2 linked regions of the Saccharomyces cerevisiae S288C genome follow. The gene in region 2 interacts genetically with the main gene of each other region. Each region holds a gene or a part of one and is shown on either strand. Other genes may lie near its edges.

Evidence for each region. Genes that interact genetically often act in the same process or in processes that back each other up.
Region 1: of IST1 (region 2) and VTA1, changing one enhances a phenotype caused by changing the other (phenotypic enhancement), as found in Saccharomyces cerevisiae (6 studies listed by BioGRID, with this or other methods).

What each region holds. Positions count from the first base shown.
Region 1 is NC_001144.5:515,424-520,447, reverse strand, and holds VTA1 (Vta1p), read left to right. Parts: upstream 1-2,777; coding exon 2,778-3,770; downstream 3,771-5,024. Other genes in the region: transcriptional regulator SWI6, read right to left, coding at 97-2,508; methionine adenosyltransferase SAM1, read right to left, coding at 4,038-5,024. UniProt on the Saccharomyces cerevisiae protein: Has a role in the formation of the multivesicular body (MVB). Required for the sorting of lipids to form intralumenal vesicles and for fluid-phase transport to the vacuole. Required for sorting the plasma membrane proteins STE2 and STE3 into the MVB.
Region 2 is NC_001146.8:143,780-147,098, forward strand, and holds IST1 (Ist1p), read right to left. Parts: upstream 1,503-3,319; coding exon 1,476-1,502; intron 1,371-1,475; coding exon 501-1,370; downstream 1-500. Other genes in the region: PIK1 (1-phosphatidylinositol 4-kinase), read left to right, coding at 1-299; PDR17 (phosphatidylinositol transporter), read right to left, coding at 1,784-2,836; protein transporter YIF1, read right to left, coding at 3,117-3,319. UniProt on the Saccharomyces cerevisiae protein: Involved in a late step in sorting of cargo proteins of the multivesicular body (MVB) for incorporation into intralumenal vesicles. The lumenal sequestrated membrane proteins are targeted into the vacuole after fusion of the endosome with the vacuole.

The DNA.
Region 1 (5,024 bases), on a different chromosome or scaffold from region 2:
ACAGTTATGTAGTAAAATAAAAGTAAATAAAGCGCTAAAACAAAAAAATAACTTCAAATAAAGTCATAAAAGTTAATGCAATGAAATCACATGCCCTCATGAAGCATGCTTTTTTAAAAAATCTTGCATTTCGTCAGTGTCAATGTCTTGTGGGTCTTCAGAAGATATGGCCTGTAACAAACCATCAAGCATATTGTCAACTTTATTTTCGTCGATTTTCAAACATAAAGATAACACTCTTCTAAATTTATTCTCTAATTCTGATTGTTTGGTGCTGATTGTATCCAATACATTGGTTAGGTGTTTATCATTCCGCTTGTATGCATTTATTCTTGCCTTCAATAAGACCGTTGGTGGAAGCATCGATTGGATTTTTTCTGCGGGAAGTTGATTTCGTATCTGTTCCATTATCTGCTCTTTCGACTCCGCTTCTAATAGTTTGGAAATATCGCCTTCATAATTCTTTTGTAATTTATCCTCCAAGAAATCTGAAAGGAACTCTACTTTGAAGGGTTCATCTGCATCATATTCGCTAGAGTCCCAATCAATACCTGAACTTTCATCTGCAATTATTCCTAGCTTTTTGCTCTCTTCCCTAAAACTTTCCTCTTCTTCTTCAATTCCTGCTTTTAAATTGGTCAATTGCTCTTGCATTAGTGAGTATTCATCTTTCAATTGCTTCACATTTGCTAGTTGTTCTCTAGAATTAGCTAATTCTTCTCGCTGTTCGTTCAATTCCTTGTGTAGTTTTTCTAATTTCTCATTATATTGCACTGTTTCATTCTCATAATCTTTCGAGATTGAATTCAGTAAATTTTGGACATCATTAATTAACGAAGTTGTTTCAGGTGGGTTTTTCAACAGTTGAGACCTTATTTTTTTGGCCTTTCCATTTTTTTGACCGTCGTAATCACCCTTAGAGACCATCTTCGAGTTTTCGTCACCGCCGTTCGTATTTTGTAATTTTGAAGTACCTGCCCCAAAATCCACGGGTCTCAACCCTGATTTGTTTGCAATAAATGGGTCAGCACCGTAATCTAATAAAGCGTCTACTATTGAAATGTTTCCCAATCTTGCTGCAATGTTCAAGCAAGTATCGCCATTAGAGTCCTGCGCATTGAGCATGTTTGCTATTATCCATTTCAGGTCCAAATTTTCTAGTATAGAGTCCTTTCTTTCCCCATTTTTGTCATTCGGTTTGCTTTCTTTTTCGTTAGTACCACTTTGAATGGGTCTATTTTGTTTCTTGACAATCCATCCCATTAAAATATCTAAATAATATTTCGCAGCTGCTGAACAGCCAGTCATACCAGACGTAATAATGATATGGTGCAAAATTGTTCTATTCATTGAGTCTTCCAAAATTAAACATGGATATAAATAATCTAGAAGTGCCTCAAAAGTACCAGAGTCGTAATTATTTACTGATTTGACAGCTTTCACTAGGCATGACTCCCCCATATTATCACCATATAATCTGTTTGAACCATGCTTAACCAGGTGTTTCACTAATTCCAGGTTTGCTATTGAAGTCAGCCAATGTAATGGTGTGTTTCCATGCTCATCTACAGGAATATTAAGATTTAATTGAGTATTAGGAAAAGCGTCGTTTACCTCTTGCAAAAGGCTATCAAATGATACGTGCTGTTGTTGTTGGTTTGAGCTCCCCCCTTCTGAATTTCTATTACTGCTGTCATTATTAAGGGATGTAGGCATTTCTTGAATTTCTGGAAATAACAACCGTTGTAAGAATGCCTCTAGTTTCATCTTCTGTTCATTATCATTTACAACTGGAGAAGGTAGTGCTTTCATGATTTTCAGTGGACTGCTTAAAAAGTCAGAAGTTAGGTCATGAGTGAATGTTATGATAGGTCCAGCGGTTCTGTCATTGTCATCAGTGCCATTATTTTCATTGTCGCCGCTAGGGCCCTTATTAATATCATCGTTAGGCTTGCCTCTGGCAGTATTCGGAGTGGAGTCACTCTCAGCATCTATTACAGAGGTATCTATTTTTAGTTTTTTTAAAGGAGAGCCTAATTCTCTGTGTGCATCAGAATCCAGGCTCATATCTTGTAAATTATTAATCCTCTTTGAGCTGATATTATCCTTAGAATTTTCACTTTTGGTCTTGTTTTCTGGTAGTTTCGAATGGCTGGGATCTTCTTCATCCTGATCTGTTTCAGGCTCCTCAAATTCGAATGCATCCTGGAACAAACCGAATAAATTTAGCATGTTTAATAATTGTAAACATTTTTCCAGCTCTATCCATAACTCACCTCGGTCGTCTGTATTTACAGCAATTCCATAATGTGCCAGTAATTTATTTCTTTCCTCATCAGTGGGGAAACTATCGGGGTTGGTCTCGTTAATATTCCCCGTGTCATGATATTGCTGCAAAATGGGCAGAAAATGTTTCAGGAGGAAATGGCCAGTCTCCGAGTCTCTAGTGAGTGTCAAAGGGATCTCATTGTGAGGTCCTAAGTATCGTACCACTTCTTCCAACGCCATCCTCTCGAGAATTATACTGTGTTCCCCTTTATTATTCTTTTTTTTTTAGCTATTGCTTAGTTCATATTGATGTTTCTCAATCGTGTTTTTTGTTGTTTTTTTTTATTATTATGAAATCGTTGGAGAAGGAAACTAAAAAAAAAAACTAAGATTTGGTGAATGATCTTATCCAAACGGTCCAGATGAAGACAAAAAAAGGAACAATAAGCTTTCTTATTTTATTTGATTCAATTTTTAGAAACTAATTGTCCACATTTTAAATAAATTCTATGGCTAGTAACGCTGCAAGGGTTGTCGCTACAGCGAAGGATTTTGACAAAGTTGGGTTAGGGATCATCGGATACTATCTTCAGTTATATGCGGTGGAATTGATACTGAGTGAAGAAGATCGGTCGCAAGAGATGACCGCACTAGCGACAGAACTTCTTGATACTATTGAAGCGTTTAAGAAGGAGATTGGCGGCGAGAGTGAAGCAGAAGACAGTGACAAAAGCTTACACGTTATGAACACGCTAATACATGATCAAGAAAAAGCCAAAATTTATATGCTAAATTTTACAATGTCGTTGTATAACGAGAAACTGAAACAGCTAAAAGATGGTCCCTGGGATGTTATGTTAAAAAGATCACTTTGGTGTTGTATTGATTTATTTTCATGCATTTTACACCTGTGGAAGGAAAATATAAGTGAAACGAGTACAAATTCATTACAAAAACGAATTAAGTATTGCAAAATTTATTTGAGTAAATTGGCAAAGGGTGAAATTGGTTCCAGCGACGAGAAAACGTTAGATTATGCAGATTTTGCGGATGATAGCGAGGAGATTAAGGATGAAGATGTTGATCACCAGACAAGCGATTTGGAAAACAATAATAATGATAAAGTCGAAGGCCTAGCCCCAAAAGACCAAACAACATCATACGAGCCTGTGGATGAGGTACCTGAATTTATTGATGATGCCGATAGCGTAAACGAAGAAGAACAGACCGTCGACAAGAACGAAGATGCAATAACAAAAGACGAACAACAAGTTGTGAAGAAAGAAGTGGATCTTACGCGCCCTTCTGCACCATCAGAACCTGCTGCAGCAGAGCATAAATCGTATACAAAGGATGAGTTGACAAAAATTATGGACAGGGCCAGTAAAATAGAGCAAATTCAAAAACTTGCCAAATACGCCATAAGCGCATTGAATTATGAAGACCTGCCCACCGCCAAAGATGAGTTAACTAAGGCGTTGGATCTGTTAAATTCTATTTGAATAAGATAAAGTTTGGTTTGTTGATCCGTTGAAGGAGGTATATATTAATATTAGTAGTTACGTATTAAATGTTAGAAAGGAAAAGGAATCCTGTATAATGCAAAATGAAATCGATACAAATTTGATTTGAGAAAAATGAGTCTATATCAAGAATATGATGGTATTGCGTCCCTGCATCAAATACGGTATAATGTACATGTTGACTTGTGTTGAGCAAATGAAAACATGGGAGGTTGAAGGCAGAAAAAAGTCCAAAAGGAAAAAAGCTTAGAACTTCAAAGTCTTAGGCTTTTCCCATGGGTATTCTTGGTTTGTGAAATGGCCATAAGAAGCGGTTGGCAAGTAGATTGGTCTAGCTAAGTCCAACTCCTTGACCAATACACCAGGTCTCAAGTCAAAGTTCTTGCTGATAATGTCGATAATTTCTTCGTCAGACTTGGTCGCAGTACCATAGGTGTCAACGTGCAAGGACAATGGTTCCGCAATACCGATGGCATAAGAAAATTGAACTTGAACTCTCTTACATAAACCAGCGGCAACTAGGGACTTGGCAACCCATCTAGCGGCATAAGCGGCAGAACGATCAACCTTAGAGTAGTCCTTACCGGAGAAGGCACCACCACCGACGGATGAGGCACCACCGTAAGCGTCGACGATGATCTTTCTACCGGTCAAACCAGCGTCACCTTGAGGACCACCGATGACGAATCTACCGGAAGGTTGGATAAAGTATTTGGTGTTTTCGTCCAACATGTCTCTTGGGATGACTTTTTCAATGATCTCGGACTTTAGTTGCGCTCTTAAGTCCTCGGTCGTGATTTCGTCAGCATGTTGAGCGGAGACGACGACGGTGTCGATTCTTTGTGGAACCCATCTACCGTGGTCATCCTTGTATTCGACGGTGACTTGAGTCTTGGTGTCTGGTCTCAACCACGCTAAAGAGCCATCTCTTCTCGCGTCAGCCATGGCCATGTTTAGTTTATGAGCCAAAAGAATAGTCAAAGGCAAACCCTCTGGAGTTTCATCTGTGGCGTAACCAAACATGATACCTTGGTCACCGGCACCGATGTCTTCCAAATCCTTCTCCTCGTGGACACCTTGGGCGATATCTGGAGATTGTTGCTCAATGGCGACAAGGACGTTACAGGTCTTATAGTCGAAACCCTTGGCGGAATCATCGTAACCAATCTTCTTGATGGTGTCTCTGACGATTTTTTGGTAATCCAACTGTGCCTTGGTAGTAATTTCACCAAA
Region 2 (3,319 bases):
TAGAGGGAGAAGCGTTTAAAAAGTTTGTTGAACTAACTAAAAGTTCGTTCAAGGCTCTGAGAAAGTATGCTGATCAAATCGTATCAATGTGTGAGATTATGCAAAAGGACAATATGCAGCCTTGTTTCGATGCTGGCGAACAAACAAGTGTACAACTACGACAAAGGTTCCAATTGGACTTATCAGAAAAAGAAGTTGATGACTTCGTAGAAAATTTCTTGATAGGTAAATCTTTGGGTAGTATTTACACCAGAATATACGACCAATTTCAACTTATTACACAGGGTATATATAGCTGAGAAGGAAAATAGCTGTGACAGAACTGGAAAAACAATTTGCAAATGTCCGGAGAACAAAAAAATTGGAATTTTAGTAAAAGGAATATACATATATTTATTTATTGCCGAGAATAATAGAGCAGCTGACTCAGAAAAAGCAAGGTAAAAGAATGAGAGTAAAATAAATATGTGGTTAATTAACCATACATATAAATTATTATCTTATTTTCTGCGTAAAGCGTCAAACCGTTTCTTCAACTCATCTAGTTCATCATTTTCTTGCTCCTTCTTAGTCTTTCTTTTTGTAGTTTTCTTTTCTGATTGTTTCTTTTCGATCACTTCCTTTTTGATATCTTTCGGAATCTTGAGCTCGTTCTTGATATTTTCACTATTCTGCCTAGGCTTTTTAACAGTGATAGGGTGTTTAGCATCTGCATTGTCATTATCGTCATTATCTAAGGCTAAAATAGGCTTTTCTTCGTCATTATCCTCGATATCTCCCGAGGGGTCACTAAAGTCTGAAGAAATGTTAGAAGACGACGAAGATAAGGAATTCTCCAGCTTACTATATGGCACATCGTATGTTTTCGCGATTTCCTTCAAATAAAGATCAACTAGTTCTTCTTTTGGAACTGAGGGAGAGCATTTTTTTATAATCTTTTCAGGGACATCGATATGATCTGCTATTACTCCATTAACAAACTCAACGTTTATTTTCCAGGCCATCAAATCTTTCAATTGGCTAAGTTCTTTGACTTCATCAACGAAAAGAATCGCATAGATTAGGGATCTGATAGCTTCGTTAATACCATCATCCATATGCTCTTTGACAAGCTGTTCCTCGGTGGAGATATCGTTTATTACCTGCACTCTAGCCAGTAGTAATTCACAATATAGTTCCAATATCTCTAGTAGCTCAATATGAATATCGTCATGAATTAGCGTCTCCACACGATAATGCGCCTTCTGTTCTTTATTTGTCAGTAACAGTTGTGCAACCTGTCTTCGAGACTGCTTTGCAATCGCCTGTTGCTTTTCTTGAGCATATCTTAACCTTTGAATACACATTTTCAGGCATGTTTTAAGCTTGATCTATAACAATAATTTGGATGATAGTTTTACCCTTCTTCAGTTAGTACATCCTAGATCTTTTGCATACTAAAGCTTTTTAAAAATTACTATAAAATATAAACATACAGTGAACGGAATCATTGACGGAGCCATTTTTAGTTGTCGTATTCTCTTATCTATCTTCTATGTTGACTAGTTCTGATTGATTAGCTGGAACTAATAGTATATATAATTTTCACACCCTTTGGAATTCAGAAGGCGTTTTTTTTTTCATGAAACAAAACAATAGAGTGCGGATAGCCGATTCAGTTGATTCTAAAAGTATATAAAATGCGATAAGCGCATAAGCAGCCATTATAAACGTACATCTGAGTCTAGATATATACGTTTGTGTAGCGGGAAACGTTAAAAAAAAAAATCTTAATTATAGTTTATCAAATGACCATATCAACAGGATATTTTAATTCGTCATGTTGGCCCTTGGTGTCATATTCACTTAATCCGACAATGCCTCCAAACTTTAAAAATCTATCAAAACGTTTCAATCGTAAATCGTCAACTTTCTTAACCATATCTGGCCAATAGACTTCATGTTTATACTTGAAGTCTAACAGACCATTGTATAGAGCATCTAGTTGAGATGGCTCTATGTGGTTTTCAAATGGTTCGTCAAAGATAGCCTTCGCCTTAGTGGCAGGGTCAAGGAACGGATACATCATCTTCAAAAAAGCCCACGCAAACCATGGGATATTGATCAGGACACACTTAGCTAACCTTTCAGGGTAATGATCTTGCATGACGTTCAAACACATCCTAGCAATAGAGATGGGTGGAGCTTTATCAGTGATAATACCAGGTTCTTTATAACTTTTGAAATCTACCAAGACTGTGATCTTTTCTACACCTTGGGGAGCTACAGTTGTCGCAGTTTCCATCATGTAGACTAATTCTTGGACTTGTCTAAAGGAAGATTCTGTGTTTTGACGACCATTTTTCATGTAGTATAGAGGTCTTTTAGCGTTGTCAAAGCCCAAAATAACCTGTTTACCAGTTTCGTTCTCAACGGCAACTTTGTCAGCTGTTAAAGGGTCTTTGTCCTCCTTACCATGTGTAAGTCCAATTTCTCTCCTCCATACCAAGGTTTTGGTGAGACCTTTTATGGCGTTCGCGGTGTTCCATTTATTGGCTCTTAGGTATCTTAGAAAACACTCCCTAGAAAGCCAAAACTTCTCCCAATCACTCAAGGGTCTGTCATTGGCATGTGTCCCATTGTCAAGGTCATTGAGATTTTCTGGTAATTTCAGATCATCATCTTGAAAATGTCGTAAGACAGCTCTATATTTTTCGTTTTGATCTTCGGAGATGGGTTCCAGTAGAGGTGCGTTACCATACTTGGCAGGAGGGTCCAAGAATATCTTATCACATGGAATAAGTTTCTCTTTAGGCACAGCAGGCGTATGGTCCCGTTTTCTTGAAAAAAGACCCATTTTTGTTCTTCTTCTTGTGCTTTCTTTGTGTGATTTTTCAGGGTCTTTTTTTTTAAACAATGATGTAAATTAAATCTATCTAAAAAGCGTGATTTTTCCCACGAATTTTAATCCCTCTATTGTTCTCTTTCCACTCCATATTGAGTGAAAGGAAAAATAAGAAAAGTAAATAGAAAATTTATGACGTAGGAATAAAAGTATATAAGTATTTAACAAATTGACCGTAGATAATAATAATGCGCATGAAATTAAATCCTCTCTTTGATCTCTTCAATCAAGATCAACCCATTAACCACATTAGAACATTTTGCCAAATGAAGCCATAGACGAATAGGAAGTAATTGCACTTCTTGACGGTCGATTTGCTGATGGAAACGTGTATATCATCGTCTTCAGCACCGGAGCGGCTTAGTAAATTGAACTTGACGGATCTTAGTAGGAATACGCCAAAGGCAATAAATAAGTAAAATTTTATCAAAATAT